Linked DNA regions of Bombyx mori. The protein of the gene in region 1 purifies or fractionates together with the protein of each later gene. This does not show direct contact. Links are inferred from orthologs where the notes say so. Each region holds a gene or a part of one and is shown on either strand. Other genes may lie near its edges. The genes, in order: ZZ-type zinc finger-containing protein 3, molybdopterin synthase catalytic subunit, transcriptional adapter 2A and DNA polymerase epsilon subunit 3.

Evidence for each region.
Region 2: the proteins of ZZ-type zinc finger-containing protein 3 (region 1) and molybdopterin synthase catalytic subunit purify together in Drosophila melanogaster (affinity purification with mass spectrometry; 4 studies listed by BioGRID, with this or other methods). This does not show direct contact. The link is inferred for Bombyx mori from reciprocal best matches to the Drosophila melanogaster genes Atac1 and Mocs2B.
Region 3: the proteins of ZZ-type zinc finger-containing protein 3 (region 1) and transcriptional adapter 2A purify together in Drosophila melanogaster (affinity purification with mass spectrometry; 4 studies listed by BioGRID, with this or other methods). This does not show direct contact. The link is inferred for Bombyx mori from reciprocal best matches to the Drosophila melanogaster genes Atac1 and Ada2a.
Region 4: the proteins of ZZ-type zinc finger-containing protein 3 (region 1) and DNA polymerase epsilon subunit 3 purify together in Drosophila melanogaster (affinity purification with mass spectrometry; 3 studies listed by BioGRID). This does not show direct contact. The link is inferred for Bombyx mori from reciprocal best matches to the Drosophila melanogaster genes Atac1 and Chrac-14.

Annotation. Positions count from the first base shown.
Region 1 is NC_085121.1:4,877,031-4,884,590, reverse strand, and holds ZZ-type zinc finger-containing protein 3, read right to left. Parts: upstream 3,064-7,560; coding exon 2,083-3,063; 3' UTR 2,062-2,082; downstream 1-2,061.
Region 2 is NC_085131.1:1,994,307-2,002,927, forward strand, and holds the start of molybdopterin synthase catalytic subunit, read right to left. Parts: upstream 5,555-8,621; 5' UTR 5,286-5,554; intron 5,215-5,285; exon of another isoform or gene 4,808-5,214; intron 4,561-4,807; 5' UTR 4,245-4,560; coding exon 4,116-4,244; intron 1-4,115. Other genes in the region: putative leucine-rich repeat-containing protein DDB_G0290503, read left to right, coding at 7,389-8,621. UniProt on the Drosophila melanogaster protein: Catalytic subunit of the molybdopterin synthase complex, a complex that catalyzes the conversion of precursor Z into molybdopterin.
Region 3 is NC_085111.1:1,073,685-1,081,406, forward strand, and holds transcriptional adapter 2A, read left to right. Parts: upstream 1-3,707; 5' UTR 3,708-3,715; coding exon 3,716-5,014; 3' UTR 5,015-5,024; downstream 5,025-7,722. Other genes in the region: DnaJ-5 (dnaJ (Hsp40) homolog 5), read right to left, coding at 1-160, 395-1,216; cysteine-rich protein 2-binding protein, read right to left, coding at 3,615-3,707, 5,617-5,697, 6,419-6,600, 7,621-7,722. UniProt on the Drosophila melanogaster protein: Component of the histone acetyltransferase (HAT) complex ATAC; predominantly involved in acetylation of histone H4, including at Lys-6 (H4K5ac) and Lys-13 (H4K12ac).
Region 4 is NC_085130.1:7,452,729-7,460,431, forward strand, and holds DNA polymerase epsilon subunit 3, read right to left. Parts: upstream 4,710-7,703; 5' UTR 4,585-4,709; coding exon 4,225-4,584; 3' UTR 3,696-4,224; downstream 1-3,695. UniProt on the Drosophila melanogaster protein: Accessory component of the DNA polymerase epsilon complex. Participates in DNA repair and in chromosomal DNA replication. Histone-like protein which promotes nucleosome sliding of ATP-dependent nucleosome remodeling complexes.

The DNA.
Region 1 (7,560 bases):
AAAAGGGTACGAGTAAACAAGATCTTTTGTAACGATCTGTATTGCCTTGTTCTTAATTAACAGGCCTGCGATCGCTGCCCCATTGCGCTCCACCGCGTCCAATCATCGTAATCTGAGAGACGGATGAACCACGGAACAAATAGATCTATCAATATAAACAACTGCGGATATAATTTCAACGCTCAGAATAAAAACATTATCGCACCTCTATGTAAACAATGCTTACTGTATTTATGGTACGTAAATATGTACATATAGCAAGTTCATAGGAAATACGTAATATATCATTTTAATTAATAAATCTACCGAGGATACGTCCAAGCATGAATAGGTCTAACCACTTAGTCTCCAGTGTGAAGATAGTACAAAAGAATAGTTTGGTCATTTGTCATGGTTCTTTCATCTTCATAGTAAAATACAAAGCAAATTTTTGTTCGTGAATTTATGTTTTCAGGTGTGAATAAATGATGTATATATTTCAAGTGTGTCGAATCTTAGAACCGTATCTCCCATTAAATTTTGTTTTCTTTATTTAATGAATATATAATATTATTAATGAATAATAATGGATAATAAATAATGTAAAAAAAAAAAAAAGTAATATTTAGGTAGGTAAAATAATGCGTTCTTGTTATTTTCAGTGTATCAAAACAAAAGTGGACATTGGTGAGTTTATGTAGCTTAATGTAGAAAGCTGCTATTCACACCACGCTTATCTACATACCGATTTAGCGGGAAATAATCGCTGCAGACATACCTATATTCCTACACAAACGTTACAAAAAACTGTAAACTGAACTGTAGGAGAAAAAGGATTTTCTATACAAAACTTGAGCTAAAATTATAATTGCAATTTGCATTGCACTTTCAACTAGTTTGTTTTCGAGACTGCCGGCTTACACAATTGCTCGCTTTGAATTATAATAAGTAATGATATACTTCCCATAAAATTATAACAAATCCTATAAATCAACATAGAAACGCGCTAATGTAGGTTATTAATAGTATAATATCCGGCAATTAGTGATATACGGATACAATCCCTTTTTTTAACTCCTAAAATATTTGTCCTCAAATACCTTTTCCCTTTCTACACAATCCCTGTTTTTGCATATTGCAGGGCGTATTATACTTATAAGTATTACATAAATAATATGGGTACGATTGTTTTGGAATCGTACAAGTTTTGCAATACTTTAGGGACTTGTTTCACCTAACCAGGGTGCGGCGGATATCACTTCAATATGTATCTCACTATTTTTGGACTGCAATAACACTAGGCTACCGTGAGCTTAATCCAAAATTAAAAAGAAGCACGCGATGTTAAAATAATTTTAGTTGGTGAAGTTCTGCACGTTTTATTAACACATCAATCAAAATGAGGTGCACTTTGCTGATCTCTAAGAATAAGAATGAAGTTGTAGGTCAAATCATAGGGCGTGTTGAATGAGGGTGTGATATATTGTGTTAATTATTTATGTGTAGAACACAAAACTCCCGCCAAGCAGTAGATAATGTAGTGTGTATAGAGGGTAGATAGAAGCGGGTGCGAGGCGTGCTCAGTGTTCCAGTCCAGTGGATGTTCATCACTCGCCGCGGACGCCCCAGTATTGCGTTATCACCAGAACCAGTCGGTAATTGACAGTATAGCCTAAGTTATTGAAATACGTATCCAGTTGTTTTTAAATATTCGTTTAAATTCTTGAAAATAGTAAAAATTCAGAATGTGTGGTGTTACTAAATTTGCGTCTTTTAAGCTCTTTCGGGTATCTAGTTTTAAAAACTAAATAATGGTTGAAGTGCAGTAATGTTGCAATAAATAAAAGCCGAAGAGTAATTATTAAAATTAATTGAAAAATTTCAAATCTCAATGAGTTTCATAAAAAAAAATCAGATTAGCACAACATATTGTGACCATATTTTAGTATTGTGATCCACATTACAGTGATTTGAAATGTTTCAAATCGATAAGATACTTAGAAGTTGATTAAAATTTACTTCTATGTTTTTCAAGATACTTAAAAACTATCTTTGTTGGTGACAATTTGAAAAAAACAAAAATAAGCTGAGCATTTTATTGCATCAAGTTAAATGTCTCACTGGAATAAGTCTTTCAGCAGGTAATAATCTCACCACGCAGTCTGTGCAATAGTCAGTACCCGAATTGTCTGTCCACCTTGCTCCTAAAAAACCCATTTTTTGACAACCAACACACATGGTCTTAGTTTGATAAACTGGTGTGGTTTCATCTAAAACTCTCTGTTCTTTAGCTAATTTCAATAGTTCCAACATGTATTTACCATCATTTTTAGTTTCTAAAGAGGACATATTGTCGTGTCCTTCCCCACTGTCACAAGAGTCCTCCATATTTACAGGAACATGCAATTGAGGAAAAAATGTAGATTTCTTATAAAATATAGACTTGTTTTTATCTCGTCCAACACCTTTGGGTGCTCTGCCTGGAATGGGCAGACCTGCTTTCGCTAACTTAGCGAAATACTTTTGAATCCTGCTCATAACTTGTATTGGGGTCCTTGTGCCAAGGGCTTGTGCTATTTTTTTATACCTTCTCGCTTCAATAGGCTCTTCAGGATAAATTTCTAACAATTCCTCTAATCTTTTTTGCTCTTCACATGACCATAACTGATTGAACGTCTCTGGTTTATTGTCTGTGAACTTCCGCCCTCTAACTTTGAAACTAGAATCTAATTCTTCCTTACATTGTTTTGACTCACTAGCACCTATTGTGTCTGTAACATCTATTCCATACTCATTCCAGTTTATATTGGGCAAATCAGAGATAGTTTGATGAGCAGGAAATTGAATGTTTCCGGATCTGAGATCATCAATAAACGTCAAAGGGTCATCCAAGGCTTTATTCTGAGATTCAGCTAAAGTTTCTATGTCTTTTAGAGCTTGTGTCTTTTGTGCTTCTAATTTAACTATGTATTTGAGTAACTTGCAGTAGTCTTTGTTTCCTCTTAAGGCTAAATGGTCTGATTCAAATGCAAATTCATCTTCTGACTTCTCACTTTCATTTTCATATTCATCACAGCTGTCCATGACCTTTAAATTGATAAAAATATGAATAATAGTTTCGGAATGAAAATAGCGAAAAATCCTAAAAACTTGAGTGTAAAAATAAAAAATAAAATAAACAGTGTTCATAACAAAAAATGTAAGCATGAATTCAGAAGCTCTTCAGTTGAAGGCTGGTCGGACCGGTGAGTTCAGTCTATTTCTTTTATTTATAACAGGTAAAAAATATTTAATACCAACCTATTCACTAGGGCTTTAACAGTTTGCTATAAAGTAGACGTTAAAATAAATAAACATTACATTCTTTATGTACGCAGAACTTCTTCGAAAGGCTACTTGGTTACTGACATAGATTATACACTTAATATGTTACTGACAGTTTCATAGATTAAACACATAAACGTCAAAGAATCTATATCTGAAAAAAATGAAAGTGAGATTCTAAACCAATGAGATTTTTACATCGAACTAAGAATTTATTTCCAACAATTGTTCCTATTTAAGGAAAATGAGTGTACACGATAAATTTATATTTTTTTATGATCAAGTGAAACGCAAGAATAACAAGTAAAACAAAGCGCCATCTAGGTGTTTATGCACACAACAAAACCAGTAGTTTGTTTCTAAAATTTTAACACAGATGGCAATGCTCGTGCTTCCCACAAGTTTCAGTAAAAGTCAAACAGATGACTAACATTCAATGCTATTTGTTGTTAATAAACAATGGTAATTTCGTGCCATTTATAGTGTTTTATTAAGACTGTGTGAAAGCTGATCAAAATATCTCAATTTTTTTATAAATCATCATGTCTATGTGTTTTTATTGGCAGTGGCGCTATATTAGCATAAATATAGTGACCATTATTTTTGTAAAATAAAAACAGGATAACGAGCAATAAAAAAAAACAACAACCTAGCATATAATATATGAAGGCGTTTTTTATTTTATTACATTGGTAGGTGACCGAGCACACGGCCTACCTGATGTTGAGTGGTTGCCGGAGGCCACAGACATCTACAACGTAAATGCCACCACTAAGGTAAGTGGAGACAGATTTCTAAGGTCTCCGTTTTTACAGTAGAACGGCTGCCCCACCCTTCAAATCGAAACGCATTACTGTTTCACGGCAGAAATAGGCAGGGTGGTGGTACCTACCCTACCCGTGCGAACTCACAAAGCGTCCACCAGTAATTACGCAAATTATAATTTTGCGGGTTTGTTTTTTTATTTATTTTTTATTTTTTAGATGGGTGGACGAGCTCACGGCCCACCTGATGCTAAGTGGTACCGGAGCCAATAGACATCTACAACGTAAATGCCACCAACCACCTTGAGACATGAGTTCTAAGGTCTCAATTCAGTACAACGGCTGCCCACCCTTCAAACCGAAACGCATTAGTGCTTCACGGCAGAAATAGGCGGGTTGATGGTACCTACCGGTACGGACGTCGGATTACGTACGGATGTACTAGACGTCGTTCTACCGTTGATTTTTGTTACACGATGTTATTCCTTCACCGTGAAAGTCAATCGTTAACATTTGTTGAGCAGTTCATTAGAAAAATTGGTACCCGCCTGGGATTCGAACATCGGTGCATTGCTCAACACGAATGCACCGGACGTCTTATCCTTTCGTTTGTTACTCTTCACCTTCTAATCATTTATATAAATATTTGTACAATCAATTGGTGTGTGTGAAATTGGACATAGTTATTTTTTTATTTTTTTTATTGCTTAGATGGATGGACGAGCTCACAGCCCACCTGGTGTTAAGTGGTTACTGGAGCCCATAGACATCTACAACGTAAATGCGCCACCCACCTCGAGATATAAGTTCTAAAATCTCAGTAATTCCGGTAACGGACCCAAAGCCCTTATCACCTGAACCAAGACTCACGCAGAAGACCCCATACTATAATTATTCATTCAAAATTTTAATTTCAATATTATTTAACTTTCATTGAAAACCTGTGCAAACTAGTACAAACAAGTAAAAACCAGGACATTTATGCTCAACAAAAAAGAAGGACATCGTCTAAAAAGCAGTACTGTCCTACCAAAAACAGTACGAATGGTCACTGTATGCATGTACAGCGCATATTGATTGTGTGCACATTGGCGCATTTCAAATTATATTTACTATTCTGCTTCTGGGTCCTCGTGTCCCCTCCCGGGGGCACGGTTTGGGCCTCGGGGAAATCCCCTCTGCCCGGACTTGAAGTCCCTGCCTTCTCCGCAATGGTGAGAATTCTGCTGGTAAAATGATGAGATGTGATGATGTGGTGATGTTGATGTAGTTTGTTAAATGATGTCATGATGACAATGGAGATGGTGATGATGGTATGAAAGTGCGCAAAGATTGTTAGTCTAATTGTAAGTCTTGCCTTGCCTTGCGAGTTAGAGAGTGTTTCCGTCCCCCCACCTGCACGTGCTTACGAACAATTACTGCAACAAAAGAATAACATCGTGTAATAAAAACGAAACTGTTGAATTTGTTAAGTTCAGGGCGTATTGTGAGCCCGGAGTGATAGCAACCACAATCTTTTTTGTTTGGTCAGGCTTAAATGATAGGACAGCCATTATAGCTGTACAATTGAGAGTTTGGCCTTATTATCTCTCAAGATGAATCATTATATTCAAGTTTTGATGTCTATCTGCTTCGGTGACTATCTATCTAAGCGTGACAAGCCGTGAACTTGTTAACACATCCACGAAAAAATCACATTAATATGCTGCTTTTTTAGCGACTTAGCAAATCCTTCTTCTTCTTCTTCGTCGCTTTCTTCATTGCTGAAGGTCGTGTCCCTGAAACTTGACCGTTGCCTTTCTTAGCAAATCCTCACGATACCTTATAATTGTTAAGATCCATTAAACCGTTTAAGCTAGAGTACGTGCGGTAAAAAAACTGGCACAATCTGGCAAGATTTATTGTTGCAAGAATGTTATGATTCAATGTTTCTTTACAGAGTCTAGAGAATAAACAATTCATACAGCAAACGCTTACTAAATCATCAATTAACATGTTTAGCATGTATTGTTGCTGGCTAATTGATTTAGAGTTAGAATCTGTACAGAGCTCTCCCGGGCAATTATATACCAGCCTATAATCAGGTTAGAGCGGGCCACGCCGGGACCGCAAATTTAAAGCTTTTAGACTCAGCAGCTGCGGTAATTATTGAATTAATTCGGAGAAATGAAAACGTAAATAAATTAAATGGCCACTGGAACGTAAACGGCTTTAAATTTAAATATTTTAATTCGCCTCGCTGCTGCTCGTCAGTGATCTAAGCCACTATGAGTCGTATGGAGTTTGAATTAGAGGTGTCTATATTATTGTTGTAGATTTTAACGATCAGGATGTATTCGTCTTTTTCTCTACCTAGTCGTTGATAGCTTACGAGGCTATTCCAACTACGCGCGGACGGGTAGGTAAGCTCACGCGCTAAACCTGAGAGCATTTGTTAGCCTTAGCTCTAGCAAGAACACCGCTTCCCTGTATCTACGATCGGAACAGAATCGCAATCCACTAAGAAGATCCGAATCTGGAACTCAGTTGAGTTCTTGAGATCTCAGATGAGACATGTTTTGGGCGATGACTGCTTTGCGTTACCCCGTCGCCTGGGTCAGATATATCAGACGCGCCCGCGATAAGAGGGTAGAATGTGTACATAATTATTGTCTCGTAGGTAGATAACATAATATATAATAGTATAGTATTTCAAACGTTTACGGCTCCTTAAAATTTTGATGAAGCCAAACGAGCTATTTCTTGTATTTGAGCCTTTTCTTGTATCTGATTATTTATAAAAGTACTAACTACGATAGACATGTTTCAATTAAAATAGTTGAATATGGGGTGGAACATAATATATAGGTATTACTTCATACTATACTGGGTGTGTATTATTAGTTGCAGTTTTTCTATTTTGTGTCTGGTACTCGAAGAAGAAAATCCTAGCTGGTTGAGTATGAAAGTTAAATTATTTGATACTTACAGTTCTTAGTTACAATGGCAGTAGGGCGTAGAACTATTACCGCTTTGCTTATTTCTGCAGTGAAATATCGATTCCAGTGGAGTTAAAACTTCGATCTCATATTCTCTCAAGAGGAGCGACGGCGTTCACATTTACATTAGCTACTCGTGGTGGACCACCATTACTGGTGGTAGGACCTCTTGTAAGTCCGCACGGGTAGGTACCACCACCCTGCCTATTTCTGCCGTGAAGCAGTAATGCGTTTCGGTTTGAAGGGAAGCCGTTGTAACTATATTGAGAACCTTGAACTTATATCTCAAGGTAGGTGGCGCATTTACATTTGTAGATGTCTATGGGTTCCAGTAACCACTTAACACCAGGTGGACTGTGAGCTCGTCCACCCATCTAAGCAATAAAAAAAAATACATTAGTTCATCAACGAACTCGTCTGTCTAACGGCCATCGGGTGTAGTGGTAAGTGACATGGTCACTACATAAGGGGGTCGCGGGTTCCAATCCCGCCAAGGGAAGATATTTGTATGATAA
Region 2 (8,621 bases), on another chromosome or scaffold:
CAAGTGTTGCCATGTCTTGTAATCTAACGGATTCAAATCTGGACTGGAGGAGGGCCAGTCTTCGTGCCGGATGAAGTCGATTTCACGCGCCGCCAGCCAGTCTTGTGTGCTCTTCGCTCTATGAGCTGGCGCCGAATCTTGTTGGAATACCCAGTGCCTGTTATTGGACATGGTATGAGAAACAGGTTCCACAAGGTTCGTCAGGACTGTATTTTGATACACAACTGCATTCGTTTTTACACCTTTCTCACAAAAATGTACCTCTGTTAAGCCCCAATAAGAAACTCCCAACCATACCATTGAGCGAGGATGGAAAATGACCTCGTTGGACACGCGGAATACGGTTGCTCGCTTCTTCACTACTGTGTGCGTGCACCTTATCATTTTGTTTGTTGTAGCTCTCTTCTACGGTAAAAATTTTTTCATCCGAAAAAAGAATTTCCCGATATTTTTTTCCCGCGTACCGCTTCAACAAAGCGCGGCATCTCTTCAGTCTCAGGTCCATTAGACGAGCATTCAAACGATGTCCTGTTTTTCTTCGATATGCCCGAAGCCCTAAGTCTTCATGTAATACCATTTTTACCGTGGTTCTGCTTAACCCCATCTCAAGGGCCAACAGTTTCTGCCTACGTTTGGGATTTCTTTGAATTCGCGCCTTCACAGCTTTTATCACTGCTTGAGTACTAACAGACCAAGGGCGACCACTTCTTGACCTGTCATCTACACTAGAGTCTTCATTGTATCGTTTGATGGTATGATAAACGAATCTTTTGGTTATATTCAAATTTTTCAGTATGTTAAAAATTTGAATTGGCGCGTAACCGCAACGATGCAACGCAATAACTGCAACACGGTCTTCTTTAAGCGTCCACTCCATATTTAAAAATGAGTAAAATTCTAAAAGTATACATTTTTATTTTCATGAACAATTCGAAATTCGAATTCAATAAACTTTTTTGTGGCCAGCATTCTAAAAGAAAAGTTTTTACTGTGTGACAATACTTATGACCTGACTAGTTATATGCTAGTAACGTTTTTTTATGAAAACTGAGTAAATTTTACATGAAACATTTAATAGAAACACGAAAAAGGTTCTAATACGTTTGTCGATTTACGTAATTAATTGTGGCATGGTGATCCTTGGGTCCGTGGTCTGCTCCCAACATCTGCAGACCGTCAACTCCCGCATACCCCACGTGCCCCCTAAGCGCTGATACCTCGTAGGTTTGCCCCCCTGCTCGAAAAAAATGGCGTTTTGCGAGCCCGTGCGGGTAGGTACCAATACCTCACATAGATCCGCCGCGGAGAAGTTGTCATGCATTCCGAAAGTTGGTAGACCCGTTAAACAACACATTCGATCTTATCGTGTTTTCTTCGGTTTTGCGATTTATATACATAATTAAAAGTAATCGCACGTGTTTTATTTTCATTACTGTCACGAAATAAAAATAAAAAAAGTAGCTTTAATTAATTCGATCTCATGTCTTTAGAAGGCGGTGGTACAAATCTCTTGAAGAATCTAGAATAACCCCTCGACGTTACTAGAATAGGTAGAAAAAAAATATGGAATTTACTTATCACCAGGTCGTGCCGTGAAGACATTTAGGTATTAAGTGAAATAATTAAAACAATAATCGTTTTCACGTAAAATTCATTTTCAAGGTAAATTATTTGTTTCTTTTACTTCCTCGTTACGTTAAATTTGCATTGGAATGAACAAATATTGATTTGTCAATTCAACTGTTATTTATAATTGCAAATATACAGCAGCTGTTATAGAAGTCGATAAAATTCGTTTTTTTATAATACGCTTTTATTAGCTCGACATTCGTATTTTGCGATGTGAATTTGTCGGTGTTCTTATCCGATAGTTATGGTTTTTTTTATTGCTTAGATGGATAGACGAGCCCACAGCCCACCCGGTGTCAAGTGATTACTGGAGCCCATAGACATCTACAACGTAAATGCGTCACCCACCTTGAGACATGAAGTTGTATAGTCTCAGTATAGTTACAACGGCTGCCCCACCCTTCAAACCGAAACGCATTACTGCTTCACGGCAGAAACAGGCAGGGCGGTGGTACCTACCCGTGCGGACTTTACAGGTCCTACCACCAGTAATCACTTATTTCTATTATTTTTTTTCCAATAGGATCGTTGGTACCCCCTCAAGCTGTTATTTTGACTACGCGCGGTTTGGTAGATGAGCTCCCTCAACCTGAGAGAATTACTAACCCTGGCCCCAACATGATCAGTGCTTTGCTGAATCTACCATCGGATCGGAATCGCGAGCCACTGAGACGTAGTGAGAAGATCCGGCGATAAACTCAGTGGATAGGTTGTACGTGGAACTCTGTCGTATTTGACGTGTTCGACGAGAGCGGTAACCAGTGCCTGGAATGCCTAAAAGCCCGGAGAGTCGATCGAGAGGATTCGATAGTATTTTTTATTTATTGCTTAGATGGATGGACGAGCTCACAGCCCACCTGCTGTTAAGTGATTACTGGAGCCCATAGACATCTACAACGTAAATGCGCCACCCACCTTGAGATATCAGTTCTAAGGTCTCTGTATAGTTCCAACGACTACCCCACCCTTCAAACCGAAACGCATTACTGCTTCACGGCAGAAATAAGCAGGGTGGTGGTACCTACCCGCGCGGACTCTCAAGAGGTCCTACCACATGTTAAAACTTTTATTGTACACGTTACGTTTTTATTACACGATGTTATTCCTTCACCGTGGAAGTCAATCGTGAACATTTGTTGAGTACGTATTTCATTAGAAAAATTGGTACCCGCCTGCGGGGTTCGAACACCGGTGCAATCGCTATATACGAATGCACCGGACGTCTTATCCTTTAGGCCACGACGACTTCAATAAATGTCGTCGGATGTTCTTTAGACGACGGTACCTTTGATTTGCCTCGTGGCCTGGGTCGGATATGTAATTTTAGGCGGTCACGATAAGGTTTATTTCTAATGAAATACGTACTTAGTACACGTTCACGAATGACTTCCACATCGTGTAATAAAAATCCGATATAATAGTAACGTGCGTAATTACTAAACAATTGAGATGTAGATGTATGTATATGGACTCCAGTAACCACTGAACAACAGGTGGGCCGTGAGCTCGTTACGAAAATATATTTTTTTTATCTCGAAACTAGGAAGAAACAACCTTCTAGTTCAAAGTGGCCCGCAGCATACCGTATGAACAGACTTAACTTGAAAACAAAGGTATAAAAATGAGTTTAAATTTTTGAAATATAATCATTGCTAACATCGGTATGACTAAACAATCTCTTGTTATTTACTGCATTTACATGAATATTTTTTACTTCACCACATTTATCTGACTTGGTTGTTGTTTACAAAAAGTGTTCAAAGAGGTCAAACTATAATATAAAATAAATCATTTCTTATCTATGGAACGTAAACAACTATATCTGTGTTGGAAATTGTAAATTTAGAAGATGCAAATAGACAAAGAGTTATGGCCATATTTTCTTTATTTATATCTTCAGCTACGCACGGACGGGTTGGTAAGCTCATGGGGTTCATCCTGAGAGAATTTGCTAACAATAGTCCTAGTAAGAGAAATCCAATCCAGCGAGAAATTAAGTTGGTTATGTATTTGGGCTAGGTTGCTCTTCAAACTCTTTTTGTCTAAGCCTCAGTTTTTTCATTGCAACAATTTCCCCACCCTTTAAACGGAAACTCATTACGGCTTCGCGGAAAATATAGGCAGGATGGTGGTACTTACCCGCGTGGGCTCAGATATGATGCCCTATCACCAATAATTACACAAAAATTATAATTATTGCGGGTTCAATTTTTATAACAAGTAATGTTATTCCTTTATTATAGAAATAATTTGTGAACATTTGTTAACCTATTTCATTAAGAAAATTGCGTCGCTTGATGTGAATGCACCGGGTGCCATATCCTGTAGATCACGAAGAATTTGCTGCCTATAGTGACATGAAATATCACTTAACACTAAAATGGTTAAAAGCCATTACCGTTTTGAACAACGGGCTTCACATACAGAATCTTAACAAAATACCTATTTTCCTAATGACTAGAAAATTTTAAATAATACAAGTTTACCTTTTTTCCTTCAAAATTGTCTCTAGTTGTGCCAATAAACAATGAAATTGCACCGCAGCTATCATCAGTTACAAGTTCACTTATTTCTTCGACTGACAGTCTATCTACTGTTAATTTTATATGGTCCATCCTGTGAAATACTATTTAACCTCCACTCAATGGTGGTATAACAGCTAAGTTGTCTTGTTCATTAATTTCTATATCTACTGTATCCTCACACACTACCTCGTTCTTAGCCAAAAGTATATTTTTCTTAATACTGTTTAAGTTATATTTATCGCATATAATATTCAACAATCTCTGATATCCCAACTTTCTTGGTAAAGTTATGGAAGTTTCTCTAACTCCCGACAATTCTTTTGATTTAGCAAAAAACAATAGCTTCACTGTTACAGTATCTTCTATATTTTCTATTTCCATAATTTACCATAGTCAATCTACCAGCCTGCAATAAAAAGATGTGTTATTATAAACCTGTTTGTAAAAAAAAGTTGCTTAAGTAAAAATAAATAAAAAACATTACAACAAAATAATCAATATAGCTACTGTCAATACTGCTTCTAAATCTGTGTAAATAGTAAACAATAATGATTAAAATACATACATGTAATTTGAATTGAAAAAAAAAACTAGAAAGTACAAAATGGTGCTGCAAAATCTAAAGAAAAATATTTAAAAAATTAAATTCTTACTTTATTTCGAATTGATCCATAAAAGACTAAATATGTTGTACTTGTTGTAGGATAATAAAAAGGTTTTTAATTTCCGTTATACACTTTCCATGTACATCAAAAGTATTTTAAAAAATTATATATCTACTGACTGCATCACCGCGGCGTTTCATTTACTTACTGACTGATTCACTCGACTTACCTACATGAATGTCGTGGATATAGTTTTTATTTTATGGGCGACTGCTTTAAACATGTTGCTGATCATTGGACCGTGTCGGAATTTCACGATCTAATTACATACACCTACTTTCATACAATAGATACCTATACTTTACACAGTATAATATTATTAGATATTTTCAAGTACGTCGTTGGTACAAATGTCATTACAGCGATCATTTAATTTAAACTGTGTGATTTTTATAACTAGGAGGTTATACCGTAACCTTGAAAATCGTAACATTTTATTTATTAAAGTAATTTTAAATATACTTACTGTATCTTCTGTCTTAAATGGTAGTAATGTAAGGGTTTTTTTTCCTCAAACTTAGATTAGAAATTTCACTTCTTTAAAATTCTTACTAACTATTAGGTGTTATAATTAAGTTAAAATTCAAATTTTAAAACTCAAAAGCAAAACAAGAGACAGCTGTTATAGTTTATGAATTAATAACTTTTTGTTTGATCCCAAAAAACAGGCAAAGGAATAGTATTTCATAGGCTTTGTTTCAAAAAGTAAATTCTTTTATCTATCTATCTCTTAGGTTTATGGCGTTTCCTTTTAGATTTCGCCAATGTCAAGTGTATATAATACTCTGCTTTCTATAGCGGGCTTCGTGAATTAAATTAAAGTAAATTCTTTTGCACGAGAAGCGTAAAGGTGTCATTACCAAGCCATACTATTACCTTTTTTAAGGTATAAAAAAGGTAATAGTTTAAAGTTTGAATGATATCAGTTTTCGTAATAGGCCAACCAGCCAAGTCCAGTGATTTTGCTCCATTTCCATCTCCTAGAATCTAGGACCTAGATAGTTGAAAAGACCATATTAGTTTAGTATATTAGTTGCAGAAATACCTAATTGGAAAAATATTACAATGGCATATCCAATTTCATTCTTGTGTTCTAGTCATAGTAGATTTACACTTTTCTTTCTTGAATCTTATCCATACAACGGTTGAATGAAAGAGATCGCTTTAGAAGACAGGACCACACCTTGTAATTAAATTTTTATAGCATATCTACTTCGCTCCCATTGTACTAAGAAAAATTACCCGTGATAAGGTGCATGCGAAAATTTAACATGAAAATTAAGAGTCAATAACAAAACTCAATTTTACATTTATAGTATTTTAAAAATATAGATATTCTTTTAGGATCTCTTTTTAGGGGTTCAAAAAAACCCTCTTTCCAAGCGAGAGTTGTTGATAAAATACTTAAAATTTAAACTTAAATTATAAATATGTCTGTTATTAACTACTATCTCTCCATCATATTAAATCATGTTTATGTTGTATTTTCATGTCTCAGGCCTATTTATAAAATATCTTATAATCCAATTAATAATCATCATATGTTCAATAGTAGTGATCCGTCTTTGCACGGGATGAATAATGATATTGTGAATTATGTAATAATGAATAAATATAATCATATAATGTATAAACTAATTATTGCTGAAAGTACATCATAATACAAGTAAAAGAAAGTACATTATTGTTTACAGTAATGGCCATAGGTAATATATTGTAATTACATCACGTGTATTATTTTTACTAAGCTTTATGTAAAAGCTTCAATATTGACAGTTCTCTTTCAAATGAGAGAAATTACACTTTCAACCCCTACTTTTTAACTCTCAAAGAAAATATTCCTAGAAGTGAAATTTTGAAAAACAGCAACAAAAGTTTACGCATAAACGATAATATGTTTATTTTTTAACAAGTAGCGGAAATACGACATTTCGTATTTTAAAATGACAGTGTCGAAATGTTGTAGCGATGGCTCTATAGGTTGACACTCTCTTATTATACATTAAGGTTAATCCTATGAGTTTAGATTTGAATTCTTTCGGTGATCATGTCTCCTGCCGTTTGACATTCTTTTTCTTCCACTTGACCATAGATAATGCTTAAACACCTTCGCAACTCGATTTAATTTTACGTCACTATCGATACTAACTGCACTACCATAATCTGACAATTGACAGTTCAAATTGAAAAAGTTACCGAATTCAAACGGTTTTCAATCCGGTATGTTTGTGTGCTGCTTCTATGTATACTGATCGTTATTTTTTGGCAAGATTCCCTCTGGGTGCGCTTCTTATATAAAATGGACTACGTACAACGTACAACACAAAAAGGATAAAAATAGAATACGAATGCGAGTTTCAGTTCAGTGCTCGGACATTTTTGTTTTCTAATGACATACTTACCGAACCGTTTATTTTACGAAATAGAAATCAGTGAAATTATTTGAAAAATATTTGATGTTAGTGTTGGATTGAATATTTACTTGTGTCTTCAGATCGTGACGTGTCGAGCAGAGCAGAGTCTTAAAAACGCTACAATCAACCGTTGTGTGTTTAGTGATATATAAAAAATGGCAAATCGCGATGAACCGATGGATATAGACAGCTTAGAGAGTGATTTTGATAATAAAGAGAATACATATCACAATAATGTGTTACCATGTACAGAGAAAGGATATGAGGAGTTGGATGTGTCAGAACTCAACATGAAATTGAGGTATTCTATAACCCCAGCCGCATCACCTATGTCGAGGAGCTTTACTAACTATACTAGCAATAGAAGCCTTGATAATGATGATTCACTAAATTATTCCAGCAATGAAAATAATTTGACTCGATCTTTAAATTCTAATATATCAAAGAATGAAAATGTGGTAAAATCTCTTAAAACATTGCCTCTCCAGTCACTTCCCACTGACCAAGTAGATCGAATAACAATTTTACAACAGTTGGATAGTGTTGAGTTGACGGGTGATACTCATGATATCACTGTAACTGTTAGTAAAACAAACGATGATGAAAACATATCACTAGCAAGTTCATCATCTTCAGCATTACACAGTCCTGATGCAACAACACCAACAAAAGAACCCGAAAAAAATGAAAATGAATCTCCAATAATGAGAGGTCTCAAGAGCGTACTTAATATTTTTCGTTCTTCACAAAGCCCTATACCCCCTGGAGATAATGATGTGGGATCAAATCAAATTTCACCTAGACTAGAAGAATGTTCAACACCTAAAACTGAAGAGACAACTGACAAGACAGCCTCTGCGTCCACTCCTATCGTAGCTCATAGAAATAAAGATTTAAATATATCCAACAGGAACAGTCCATACAAAGAAAGTGTCACATTTAATGAAGACCTTGAAAAAGAATTACTATGGAAAGACGAAACAACAATATTGTTCAGTCAAGAAAAGATTCCCGTACACAAATTGTTTTTAACTAAAACAACTGAGAGTCAGTTGAAAAATGTAACTGAAACACATAATCAAAATCTAAATAAAACGGTTGAGTATATGGATATGTCGTTCAATGATATGCTGGAAGACAAAACTCTAACTGAATCTGAGAATTTTAAAAATGATTGCAGCACTGTCGAATCTGATAGTGAATTTGTAGATTGTGAGACGACATTTACGAAAGATGAAAACCAAAAAGAAAAAAATAATTTTACTGAAGAACATATGCTAAATGAAACTGTCAACATCTGTGGGACTGACGTTCTTGACAGCTCTGTTATAGAACGAAAACCAGCTCCTGACGAAAGACATCAGAGCAATCTTTTTAATGCAATAAAT
Region 3 (7,722 bases), on another chromosome or scaffold:
CTACAAGCAGGTCACCCTTTCTTGTGGGTTCCTTGGGGAACGGTAGTCCATAGCCTGGGAACCTTTTGACTGTGTGAGGTTTTACTATTTCACCATGTAAGTTGACTGTTAACTTTTCTCCAGACATAGTTGGTACTTCAATGGTTGTGCCACAGAGTGCCTGCAACAAGATTAAATAAGTTATTAATTTCCATAAATGACTCACCACTTATAAGATGTATTGCCTAGTTAATTAAATTATATTAGTCAATTATAATAAAATTATTATACAGTACTATAAGTCAACTTATGGTAGGTACTTTGTTTTAATTTTGTTAGTGTGTGTTATTCCCATTAAAAACAGAAATTTACAAAACCTTTTTGAGTTCAGAAATGCACAAGAAACTTAACATACCTGTTTGAGTGAGATTTTAGCTGTGTATCTTATGTCACTGCCTTCTCGCTTGAATAGTGGATGTGCCTTATCTCGGATGATAAACACTATGTCTGCTGGGATTTTATTACGACCTCGATCACCTTCTTTCTGGAAGGTAATCTTAGTTCCAGCTTTCCAGCCAGGCTTCACGTGTATGGTCAACACCTTGTCTTCCTTCTTCGAGGTACCATCTTGCTGTATTACACGTCGCGATATCTTCATCTTCTTGACACAACCACGGGCGATATCTTCTAATGATACGTATAAATCGTGTTCGATGGGGGGGTCCTGCGTCTTCTCCTTCCTACTAGGTGAACCATGGAAATTAAAGCTGTGACTGCGGAAAGCACCACCGGGGCCACCTGGTCGCGCCTGCCCCATGCTTATGTTACTGAAAGGATCCATATCCACATCCATGTCGCGGTCGAAGAACGTTGTAGTTCCACCTCCATTCAGATCGAAGAATTCCTGGAACGGGCTGGCCGAACCAAAGAACTGCGCGAACGTTGCTTTCGGGTCGCCGTGGAACGTGTAGGAAAATGATTGACCGCCACCAGGACCATTCTGCCCGCCCATACCACCCTTTAGGCCTTCTTCGCCGTGCGCATCATAAATTTCTCTTTTCTTCTTGTCCGATAAAACCTCATAAGCTTCTGCCACTTCTTTAAACCTTTCCTCTGCGCCCGCAGCCTTGTTCTTGTCCGGGTGGTACTTTAATGCCAATTTTCTGTAGGCTTTCTTGATGTCATCGTCCGAAGCACCTTTTGTTATTCCCAATATTTTATAGTAGTCTTTGCCCATTTTGATTTGTACTGAAACAAAAAAAAAAGATCAGTCTCGACGTTTGACACCTTTTTTGGAAGCACGATTTCGTCGATCATTTTCGTTTCATAAATTTGATAGACCACATTTTATAACAAAACCACGGTTTTTAAATGAAAAAAATCAACATAGCATTTTCAGAACACTTACTTGTATTAGAGAAACTTTAATCCTTGATAATTTAAGCACAATTTACGAAATTTTAGCAAATAATCACAACGCAAAACTCAACACTTCACTTCAGCAATATCACAATTGAATGAAACGCGGCGCTCTCGTCGAACCAAAATATATACATCAAAACATCTAGAACATTCTAGGACCTTCACCCGTGACGTGAGCGAGATGCAATAAAAAGAAAGCAATATGAACTAGCTAATGTTAAAAAGAGACAAATATAAATTTCTATGTTCATCGGCTAATGGGCACGTCATTTTCTCGAATCTCGACCCGATTATAAATGTCAGTATGTTCTCGTTGTTTCTTTTTTATTTTACCATGTTCTCTGTTACGACTTAATAAATAAAAAATGCAATATTTAATTGTTCATGTTTTCAAAATATTATCTATTTAATGATTATTCTGAAAAGGGGATTATTTATTTTAAAGCGATACTAGTGTTTATTATATCTTTTAGATTGTTTTTTTTATTAGATCTACTGTTAACAAATTCAAAAATTAAGGAAGCTTATCAAAGAAGAACATCATCTATCATAGCGGGTTAATCAAATGATACATTTTGGATTTAGTTACCCAGTTTTCCTAAGTAAACTAAAACACTGTGTTTTATTCGTTGCTGGTAAAGTATGGAGGTTAGAGGTAAGCAGAACCAGCTGTAAGCATCACCCGCTGTTTGCCTTTACCGTCCATACTTTTCGAGAAATGGTTTTCTGTGTATGAAAAAGTGATCGTCGAAAGGCGACCAATTAGGGTAGCGCCATCGTAGGCAGTGGTGTAATTTTAAAGATAGCCCAGAAAGTTTTTCAACTAAGCATACTTCACTCCCTTACAATTTCTACATCATCCATTTGCTACACTAGCCCTGTTTTAATGAGTTTTCTGAATTGCAATTTGCTGCTTACAGCCGGATGCTTCTTCAACTTGTCTCTCATTTTAAGATAGTTCTCCTTACCTATAAGTACACACCTAAGAGTTAAGTATGAAGTCGTAACAGATATTTAGCAGTGATACATAGTAAACGTTGACAAAGACATAAGTACAGATATATGAAAAAGTAGGAATGATCCTTCTTCTCGAAAAAGAGAAAATCGACTGCCCATAAATATATTTTTTCGATATTCGCTTTTTTTTTATTTTCCGTGTAATGTCACCAGCACCGACTTTAAAATACTTTTTTAATATCGATGCTTTGATGTCAAATGGAATGGATCGGATTGAAATGAATTTGTTTATTAACTGATATTGTCATCAATTTGCGTTGTTTCAATAGATTTTTTGGAAGAACCCGAGACGTCACGTTCAGCAACTTTATTTCATTTTCCAATAATAATGGATTTTCACACATGATATGATGATAACCTGTTTGCAAATGCATTTTGATTTGCTAATGTCCTAGATGGATTGGCTATTATAATGATAAAAAGATCGATTTAAACAGAAATCAATCCCTGATCACCATCCCTACTCACCGAGATATGTAGTTATTTTGAATAAAGTTATGTATGTATGACAGGGCAAGAACAAAAAAGGTAAGATCTTTTTGGCGGAACCGCGAGGAGTGAAGTTGTGTGATTTGTTTGTTAGATTTAAATGTGTAATAACGTGGCTTATTAACTGTTTAGTATCTGTGAAAGTGCACAAATGTGGGAAAATGAAACAAAGGCACTGGACGTAACTTCTCGGGATCTTCCAAAAAGTCAATTGAAAAAGTCTTAGTAAATGACCACCATTTTACTGAGATTATATTTTATCCCATATTATCCAACCTCATTTCATTTCATGCCATGTTTCATTAATCAACTTCATTTAATTACACTTCATATTATCATTTTTCATATAAAATGAATTATAAAAGATTAGGCTGTATGGTATGATACCATTGACTTTTCAGTTGAAAAAATAAAACTACTACTATTATGTAGGAACCGTACTTACTTAAATATTGTATTTTCTAAACGTTTGCTGAAATAGTAATCCCTAACATTACATAGTTTAACCGGTTTTACTAAATAGAAAAAAATCACTATCTTCTATTGTAAACCAATAAACAACTGATCTGTGCGTGAAGTTCTATCGAAATGTAGGTGTTTAGTTCTTTTGTTTTTGAATTTTTGAAGTTTGTTCAATAGGTAAGTGATAGTTAGACTATTAGGTTTTGTTTGTAAATAAAATAAAGGTTTTTAAAGTACTACTTTATTTATCTGACAAGTCGAAGAAAGAGCGCGTGCCGGCATCCCTTGTATTCGATGTCGTAGTACTTCTCATAAAAGTCTTGTATAAGTTCTTCAACCTGAAATAATGTCCAGAGATATACTACAAACGAACTGCGATTTGTGTTCAGAAGTCGCACACGAGCCTTTTATCGAATGTTGCGAGTGCGAAAGCAATGTTTGCACTCCTTGTTTTTCATCCGGCAAGGAAACAGAAATGCATAAAAATGACCACAAATACGCGATAAGAAGAAATGATTTTCCATTATTCGGTAATTGCAATTGGTCTGCTAAAGAAGAGTGCAAATTGTTATCAGCACTTTCTACATACGGATTCGGAAATTGGGAAGAAATATCTAAGAATGTGCACACACGTTCTAAACTCGAATGTCAAGAGCATTATAGGAAATATTACATAGAGAATGTGCAGTATAAAGAATTGAGATTACTAAAGGAAACACAACAGTCACTTTTTCCAATGCCAATTACTCCATACTTGTACAATACAGATGTAAGCACTAATCCGCCTAGAAATAACAGTTCAGATCAACATTTAGCTGGTTACAATACATATAGATCTGAATTTGAATTCAGTTATGATCACAATGCTGAAAGCATATTTAATATTGAAGACAGTTACTCTGAAGATGATGATGAGGATGAGGATGAAATGGACATGATGGATTCTTTAAAGGTGTCTTTAGTGAATGCTCTTAATACAAGATTAAGAGAAAGACATAGAAGGTATAAAATTATACAGAATCATGGCTTAGTAATGCCAAATAAGCTTTTCTCATGGATCCAAAAGTTTGACCTCACTATAACACGACAGAAAGCAGAACGATTGCTTTGCTTCATGCAGTTCATGACAGGAATACAGTTTGACGCTTTCATGGAATCCATGAGCTTAGAGAACGAGCTGTTACAGAGAATTGGACATTTATGTGAATACCGTAAGAATGGTATAAAAACTCTTTATACTGCCAAACTTTATAAGCAACTTAAAAAAGAAAATGACATAATCATGAAAGAACAAAAGTATGCTACATGTGTTATGGCCAAGAAATTTGAAAATCAATCACCAGTGAAGACTATGTACACAAAAAACCACCAAGTGCTGCGTTACAAGCGTATGGCAATGCCCTTAGAAATAATTGACTTGCCAGGTTTCCACAGGCTGAGTGAGGCTGAACAAGTACTATGTTCTAATTTGAGGCTTGTACCAACAAACTACTTGGAAATAAAAGAGCATCTTATAGCTCAGAACAGTAAGCTTGGATTCCTACGACTTTTAGATGCAAGGAAAATTGTTAAAATAGATGTAAATAAGACTAGGAAAATTTATGATTATTTGTTATATGAAGGTTTTATAAGTAAACCATTGTGACTATGACAAATTGGTATCATTTAACACCACATATGCTATGCTGAATTGCAGATACACACACTTGTCAACTATTTATCAATCGAAAATTATTATGCAACAAAGTATTGTTAGCCTGTGTGTATTTCTACCACTAATGTGCCTATTTTAGTCTTAAAGTATTCATACTTTCAATATAACTTGAACAGTGTGAGAGCAGTGACATTACAATACTTTGGGATAGGTGAGTTGGGTGTGAGCTCAGAAGCCCAACTGCAGAAATGAAATATTCATAGTTCACGTTGTCTGTTTGTCTGTTCTTTGTGCACAAAATGTTACTTTTGGATTCATTATCAACAAATAATGTGGTAGTGTAAAATGCGATGAAAATAGTTAGATACATAGATACATTGGTAATATGAGGTATGAGGTCAAAATTTTAGTAGCTTTGAAATAGTAGACTAATCTATGCATCAGCATGTTTCTGGCGTGAAGCAGTTTTGTAAAACTCCAGATAAGTTTACATAATAATTACAATACATTGAGTGATATTCATAATGTATCATAATATGCTGATAATACATTGTACCATAATACCAGAGAAATAGGGTTTTCATGATACTCACTTTGAAGCCAAATTTTTGATATAAAAATATAGCTGGATTTGTTGGTGACACATGCAGTGTGATATCTTGGCCCGTGCAAGTCTGTAAGTAAAAAAGGTAATTGTCTACAACACTTAAGCCTGAACCTTATATTAGCAAATAATTTAAGGTAAACATACAATGCAGTTGATACTTTGACCCATAGAGTAAGATTATATATAACCTAACTTTGACCTGAAGTCACCAGTATTCAATGCAGGGTGAACCTTCTTTATTTAAAAAAAATGAACAGTTTTGTGTCCGTTGCCATGCAACCCATATCATGATCCGTTTTACTGATTGAATTAATATTATATTAATACGTTGACCGCCATGTAGGGCACTGATGCCCTACGCGGCGCACTGAGGTAATTATGTCGATCTCTATTACTAAGCGCTGGGATTGCTTAATTTTGCCTTCTTTTGTGTTTAATATAATATGTTTTAGTATTTTAGGTCTCCAGAAATATATTCATTCTCAGTATCTTCGAATTCTTTCCCAGCGACTACGAGATGTTTCAGCGCCTTAGTAAGAAGATAGAAAAGAGAGAAATCGACATAATTACTTGAGTGCGCCACGTAGGGCACCGGTGACCTACATGGCAGTCAACGTATTAAGATCTGGCGATATGTTCTTACTTCGTATGTTCTTCACTGGAGATACAACTTTCTTTTTTAAAGAAAGTTTCTCCACTACGGAGACTGGATTATGTGGTAACCAGATCCATCTTCCTGAAATATCGCAATAAATGTCCGCCTTACTGTTCCTCATGGGCGAGTATACCTGAAGTAGATGGTACAGCATGAATGTAGCTATGCCGGCCCTGCCCCACTCCGGCCTGGTGAGCACGAAGGAGATGTACGCGGTGGAATGTCCCGCGTCCGGCACCAGGAAGGCACAGCCCACGACCAGGCGTCCGTACGTCACTACGCAGCTGAACTCTGGGTACTGCAGGGCCTCAGTTACTGGCGGACATCACAAACATATCTAAGCAAAATTATAATTTCCCTTATTACTTGTGGTAGGAACTCTTGTGAGTCCGCGCGGGTAGTTACCACTACCCTGCTTATAGCTGCCGTTAAGCAGTAATGCGTTTCGGTTGGAAGGGCGGGGGTTCTAACTATATTGAGACCTTAGAACTTATATCTCAAGGTAGGTTGCGGCATTTACGTTGCAGATGTCTATAAAAAGCGTGATCAGACACGGTACCGCGATGTTTTTAGTTTTTGAACCTTGTATGTTTATGTATACGAGTGTTCACAATTGTTAGCCTGATGTAAACCAACTAGCTGTACCCATCCGCTTCGCTGGGCATTTAAAATTAACATCATTATTTCTCACCCCCACAAACATTCTCATCATTGACGCCCCCGCAACTGGTGTAGGGAGTCCAACACTCATATAAATATTAGCCTATCCATTAAGTACATGTATTTTCTACATGGATACCAAGTTTCAAGTCAATCGGATGCATGGTTCAGTAGTTATAACGGAACATCCGTAAAAACCACTGTAGATTTATATATTATCAAATCAAATCAAATCAAAAAAGTTTTATTCAACATAAATGAAAGTGCATACTTGTTGAACGTCAAAACTACCGCCAATTCACGAGAATTAGCCTCCGTCCTGAGAAGAATTGGCAAGAAACTCAGCGGGCATGTCTTTTTTTTTTTGTTTTTTTAAATATTAGATTATTATTTTTGAATATTAGATTTTTTTAAATATTCATTTTTACAAAAAGGAATTATAACATAACAATTTTACAATATTGAAATGCCCGGAGCGAGCAACTCATTCCCACTTTGTGCAATCTTCTAGATTATCATTGACTTTATAGTAAGCTTTATTGCACAGATGTTCTTTAATAGTTTTCTTATTAGTATAGATATCCTCACTGTGAATAGGTTACCAAGCTGTGAGAATACAGATCGTTGTGACATAATAGATCCAGTCGAAATGTTTTGGTATTTTATTACACTTACAGTCTATCCCGGGCCAGAAGAATTGGGCACATAAATTATTGACTGCAGCGATGTGCTGCGGACGGACGTAGGAGTAGTCAATGGACATGCGTGCGGGTGGCT
Region 4 (7,703 bases), on another chromosome or scaffold:
TTATTGCTAGATAAGAAAATGTTATTTACCAAAAAATGATAAGGTGAACATTAAATATGAATATTTCTGTAGTAATTAAAAAAACAAGCAAAAATAAATATTGTGATACGTCGCGTCGCTATAAATGAATGAAATCCTAAACAATTAAACATCGGTCGATATGTATCTAAAATAAGGAATTTTACTTTTGCAGTCACGATTTAAAAAAACACCTTTATCTCGCGAAAGCTTAGTATTAATCCAGAGTATGGATATTAAGTTTAGGTTTGTAGTTTAAGAAACAAATAATATTTGAAAGTCTGGATTTTAAGTCTATTAAAGAGATTATAAAGCGTGATGTCGCTGAATTAGCATTAAATGCGGTCTTTTTTTCGATTTTCAATATTATTAATTGTATTCTTATATGTAATGTTTTTTTTTAAATATTAGCGGAGCTGTATTTAGTAAGTTAAAACGACATCTACAACATTACGACTGCCCTGCGAAAATTTCAAATGACCAAATAATTTATCCGAGATATTTTTTATCTGTGGTTTTTGCACTTTTTAGCGGGAACGTGAATAAACCTATGGACCGTTGCGTTTTGTGTATAGTGTTTATTGAGATGTACTCTACGTACTGTATGCATCGATATATTACCACTCGATGACTGTAGGCTAAACCTTTGCAAGCCGTTAAATATGAATTTGCACATAACGTATGACACTGCTTTGGAACGTCTATGAGGCTTTTTTATTTTTTTGCGAGTGATAAAGAGTGCGACTTGCATTTTTTTGACGTCCTAGTAAAATTTTACGGGTCCTTAATCGGTTGCCTTCATTGGTCGCGTTACTTGTATAGATCTCAGAATATTCGTTCAAGAAGTACCTATCCTTTAATAAAGTATTGGATTACAGTTTTAGACCTTGGAAAAGAAATTACTATACAGTTCTGCTAATAATTTTCTATGTTATTACTGTCTACTAGATATTTTCTAAATTTTTGTCTTATTCTGCTTAGCAAATTTATTACTATAACTACTGTTAGAGTCTGATTTAAAGTCATGCTTCATTTCTTAGAACTTGTACTTTTAAATTATATCGTAACCCTTAAATACGCTTGGTTATTGTTATTTTAACAAATTTCAAAACTTTGATTTTGATTGCTTTTGAATCTGTTACTTTAATATCTGTCTATAACGCAACAGTATACATAATCATCTATTTTCCACATTAAACGAAATCAATTGATTTATTTGCGAATACCAGAGTTGTTATTACCATTTTCCAACAAGAATTAGTCTGCAGATAGGCGGCAGTTACAAGACTGCAAACCAAATTTATTACCTCGGATGGTAGGTAATAAGTTACATTAGCCATTAATAGCTGATCAAACGTAAATACCGCCACTCATCTTTGGACCAAGCGGATACCCTACGTCGAGGGAACCTGTAAAACATTATCTACTCTATTATCTGCGTGTTCACACCTACTATCAATAATAATGTGCCCATCTCAACCACTAAGGACATCTGGCACTATAAGAAAAAGAAGATAAACATTTTTTAAGACAGAGAATAAATTAAAATAATTTAATACCGACGCATTTAAGGGTTAAAATCGATTTAAATTTTACTAAACTAGTTTTGTTGCTAAATTTTTCTTAAAGTTTTTCATCTCAATATATTATGAATAGTTTTTAAGTCTTCGATAATTAAAAAAAAATGATGATAATAAATTCAAGAGGAAAAATATATGTATTTAGTTTATATTAATATAAAATTAGAATATATTTTCGTTATAATTGAGAGTTATCAAATTGTAAATATATAGGTAGAGGTAGACACAAACCTGGCCGTGAGGTTTGAGAACACAATTTGTTTCCAGATATATTTTATTCCATAATAAAAAAAGGTAACAAAATTACTTTGTTTCTTATTTGTTATTTTTTCGGTAAATTAGGTACAACTACTTTTAAGACGTAGGTTATTTCTTTTATTAAATTTTTTATTATATTTTATTTTAACGCATCGACTTGTGGGATTCTTCATTTCGGAAAGGTTTTTTAAGCGGACAATACAAGTAATAAGTGAAGTAGTATCCGCAGATTCAGATAAACTTAACTATAAGATATATGGAATTATCATAAGATGAAGATATCAGGTTTTTTCTAGTATTTACTATATGATTGAATACATTTATTGCTCCTCCTTGGATGAGTGCCGTTAATGGGTTAACTGATGAGACACCAGCCTTGAAACGTGAACCTGAAGTTTCAATTGTGTTGTTAGTCAATAGTAATGGATTCGACTTTCATGACGACCTGGACCTAGTCCATCAGTACTTAAGTGTTTGCAGTCAGCGTCAATGCCCCATCTCGATAAAGCGGCACGACACGAGAACCCTCTCATTGTGGCCGCCGGTAACTACATAGCCGATCCTGCAGACCGAACAGTAAACAGTCGACGTCGCCGCCCAAAACCGTCATCTCAGATCCTCCCGATCCACTAACGGAGCTTTTAGGTACCCCAAGCACCGGTCATCGTTCTCGTCGAACCCGTCGCTTACGACGAAGGGCTTGGCGAGTAAATTAACCCACAGACACAGCCCACCGAGTTTCTCGCCTGATCTTCGTGGGTTGCGTTTCCGATCCGGTGGTAGATTCTGCGAAGCACGGCTTTTGCTAGGGTTCATGCTAGCAACATCAGGTTTGAGCCCCGTGAGCTCACCTACACACTAGGGTAGAGCTGATATAGCCTCTCAAAGCTGTCATCAAAGGTAGGGGGGAAAAAAAAACATGCAAATTAATGGATTAATGTTCTTTGTGGAGCATGAATCCTTTGCTGGAAAACAGACAGAATTGTCTATTATGCCGTATCAGAATTAAATAACTACAATGTTATATTGCTTCTTCTTCTTGCCCTTATCCCATATTATCTGGAGTCACTGCCGACTCTTATTTTACATATTCACTCCCTACATTCACATCTCTAATCTTGTCCAACATATCCTATTTTACTCAGTCCATCGAAGTTATTTAAAACACTGTCACTATCACACCTAGATTATTTTTGGTCAAATGATTATCGTCATTCACATAACATGCCCATACCATAATTCTTCCATTTTTTACTTTGTCAGTGGAACTACTTTGAGACTTCCTATAAACACTTATTTTGAATCTTATCCTATGATGTTATATTGTATTTGAGTCGTCTATTATCAAAGGTGGCAATCTGTGCATTTGGACAAAAAAATGTTATTGATATGTCAATACAGATTGATTTGAATATAATCGTCTCCTTCAAAGAATACGGTTCAAAACCTGCATTAAATAAAGGTTAATACTTAACCTGTTATTTATCTAAGATGTCGTTCAGAAGAGTTTTGTGACTGCCAACAGAATACAAAGTCAATAATTCGTTTTTCTGATTTACCAATAATTGTCCAAAAGTCACATTGCCGGCTTTGATAATAGTCGACTCATTTGATTCATATTTCGTATCATTTAATTCAAATTGGTTGTCATGTCCCACTCTTGACAAAAGCCAAAACAAACTACCAAGTTTCGAGAACTACCACCATAGATAAGCAGGGCATTGAATATTGTATGATATATTGAATGAAAATAATTGGAGGTTTTCACACAAACATAACCATTATTTTAATTTCTCTTGAGACTATTCTAGAATACTGAAAAATAATAGAAAAGCCAGATTCTAACAAAATTTTCTTATAATTACAAGTTTTAAAAGGATGTGTGACCAGATCTAGTAATAATTGTAACATTTACATAACATACATACATACATAACCTAACATTAAGTAATTTTTATGGCAGTAAAAATTAAGTTTAGAAAAATATCAGTAATAAATCAAATAAAATACTTTTAATTTTAGCAAATTGCAAAAACAAATTTTGAGAAGTTCTAAGTTTTAATTGTAGTTAATTTACTGATGTAAAAGTAAGTGGACACAATTCATTTTGGGATGCTTTTGAAGTTTACTTGTTTTTAATAAAAGTTTATTTAATTTTAAAACACTTCATACATTATTACCAACTGATTAATTATTGCGAGGTAACTGTTGTAAATGTTCATGGGAAACTTGTTTCATTTAAACATTTATCACTTTTGTAACACAGGCATGGGTTCTTTGAACTTATTTCATATAGTTTTTCAGCACAGTTTCTGAATATACACCACTAAGCGCCACTATACATTTTAAACTCAAGTCGCAGTAGTATTCAATCGTCTTCTATAATCTCAGCGTCTTCTTGTTCATCTTTTTTCTTCATAGAAGCGGATTTTCGTGCCGAAGCCATGGTCTTGTAATGTTCCAGAGCTTCTCCTAAAGGTTCCACAAATCTATCAAATTCGATGTCTTTCATAGCATCTATCACGTCCTGCCCAGTGAGAGCCTTCCTTTTTTTGTTCTTAACAATATTTGTAGCTGCTGAAGTCACATAAAGTACAAAAACTGAAGCCGCCTTAGCGAGGCCAGTTCGCGCCTCTTTTGATATCGATACGCCACTGGGAAGAGCTTCTTTTACGATTCTAGTTACAACTGTGAGTGGTAAATTCAAATCTTCGAGTTTTTCAGCCATTTTTGTTTATAACGTTCCTATTTATAAAATCTGGAATTAAATGAAAACATTAATTTAACCGCCAGAAGCACTAATGACATTTCTTGACATTGATTGGAGCATACAGTCACAGTTATAGATTATACACAGTTACGAATGTTACGATAGTACTCTCTATGTGTATTATCTATGGATACAAGGGTTAGTAACTGCCGCCTGTCGCCGTGCTACAAAAAGTCTCAAAAATAGGTACTCGGAATACAATGCCTTTTTTTCAAAGTTTTCATAGGTATCGTGGCTTAAACTATATTATTATGCTGTATGAGATACCCGGTGAAGTTACATAAAACGATGGGACAATACCAGCAGTTAGATCCTGCAGTGTAGTAGCCTACCGAATTCACAATTAGTATTTAGCGTTATCACGTGTTTATTTGTTGTTTATTCAACGTTTCTATTATTCTTCAAAATTAAAACCTCAAATCTTATTCACGTTACATGCTATAAAAACATTGCGATCTGTTTTCCAAAAATATTACAAAAATATAGGATTGCGTGATAATTTTAATTCACTGGTGGCAAGAAAGCACGCATTGATGATGACGCATAATGTCCATTTAACGAATGCAGACCAGAAGAGGGCTTGTAGTGCAGCAAAGATCAAGACAATATGAGATAAACTTAAACTGTATGCTTTGGTGGGAAATCGACTTTATCGTCTAATTAACTCAAAATATTTAGCAGTCACCATTATCCAAAATAATTCACGGTCAAAAAATAAATTACTCAAAAGTATGTAAAAGTTTATTTTCGCTATTATTTTTTGGTTAAATTATTATAATCTGATAATCTGTTATTTTAATCAGCCATTTAATTCGCTTGAAACCTTGTTGATTGTTGATAAAAATAAAAAGCAATGGTTCGAACACTCGTGTTGTTTGTAGAATTATTTGATTTGCACGATGTCGATATAATGAGAAACGAACGAAATTACTTGCTCATTTCTGCCACAAAGCATTATTGCATTCCGGTTTGAAGGGAGGAACAGCAATAAAAATTTCATCTTTAAAAAATAACATGGCCTTCAGTTCACAAAAGCTTCGCGTTCGTTATCATGTTACCCGTAAACAGCTGATTTACGAGTGACCAGTGTGCTTAAAAACATTATTTAGAAAATATAATAAAATATATCAGTAGGCTTACCATAGATTTACTAGGCATACATTGACTACCATGAAAGCGTATATTAGCGTATCAAAGGACACGTTGTCCGTGTTAGTTCGTTTTTAAAACATAATAGGTATCTACTTTTTAGATAGAAATTGACAACTGAATCAACTAAACAGGTCAATGACCTAGTTTTACAGAAATCGATGAAAAATTAAAAATGAATGACGTGAATACATATAAAAGGGAAGGTCAATTGTTGAATTTACTAAGTACGTAATAAAATTGAAATAAAATTTATAAATACATTTTTATTGAGTTAGGTACGCTTGGAGGTATTGCGCAAACTCGTGGTGCAATGTTGATGCCAGTGTTGTTTTGACAATAGTGATGTCCAAATGAACAAAAACGCGATAGCGTGTTATATTCTCTATTTTTTTAAGCTATTATGTTTTTTGTTACTAATAAGTTTTATAGAGATTCGGTGACTGTTAATTTGAAACTTTATGCTAAACAGATAGCTTTTTCATTTCCTAGTACCTGTGTCTCAAAAAATGTGAAAAAGGTTTTTACAACAATTCTACGACATGTGCACTGATTTTGTCTAACTTTGTTTTTCGGTCAATACCGCTATGCACATAATATACTGCGATACTGTGTTACTATTCCAAGCGTCTTAATGTAGTCTTATTAATAAAATATAACGCGTTATTTTATAACGCTAAGCGTCCCTATCCTGACACTATTCAAGTTATATTATTATGATAAGTTAGTGCGGCACCGATTTTGTTCGTTGTTAGACGTATTCTGTCTGCATTCTCATCGATTTCTAGCACAGAGTACTTAATACTTTTCTGAGTTTATGGTGTTATTGTAATGTTTTATTCAAAAAACATACCTAAATAACATTATTACAGTGGTTTCTTCGTCGACACGATCTCGTTGGTTTTAGAGTTTTTCGATATTAATTCTCATGTTATCCGAATGCGGTGTTGTTGTGGTTTTTCGATTTGGAATCGTAATGCGGTAAGGATATTTTATTAAGAGTATTAATATTTTATAATAATTGTATAACGTATGTTTGCAATTTGACGATCGTAAATAACGTGCTATGAAATAAATTACGTGAATTAGAAAAAAATACACGTTTTTTTTTTTTTTTTGTTATCTAATTCAACATCGAGCATATAGCCCAACTGATTAAAAGTGTTCATCGCTGCCTGTGAACATCGGTAATATTACCTTCGGGTTGCTCAGTTGCTTAAAATACTTAGGATTGTTTCAAGGATGGTAAGGTCCGGGGTAATTCTAGAATATTAGATAATTCAAGAGTTTCGAAGTACACTGTAGGAAAGATTTGATTGAAATTTGATTGTCACGACCTGTCGGATGCATAGTTCAGAGGGAGTACAGAACCTGGTGGAATACTGGGATTTATTATTATGGGGGATCGATGACAATGTTGATGCGGCGTCACATCCCTTTTAGAATACTTCTGAATTCAGTTGAGACCGACCTTTCTATTTATTTATTTTTTATTGCCTAGATTGATACCCGAGGCCACAGCTCACCTGGTGTTAAGTGGTTACCGGAGCCCATAGACATCTACAACGTAAATGCCGCCACCCACCTTGAGATATAAGTTCTAAGGTCTCAGTGTAATTACAAAGGCAGCCCGACCCTTCAAACCGAAACGCATTACTGCTTCACGGCAGAAATAGGCGGGGTGGTGGTACCTACCCGTGCGGACTCAAAAGAGGTTCTAAAACCTCACGGCTGACCTGATAAGTGTTTACGCGATCCTTTAACGTCGCTACTTGTTTTAACACGGATGGCCATTGTCACGATTACCTACGTCCATCACTTCCAATCTTAAGCCGGAGTGGAAGACTGCTTCGTGACAGGAATGGCCTTAATAGTCTCCTCATGTAGCCTTTAAAGACGGCATGTCATTATTACATCGCAAGACCGCT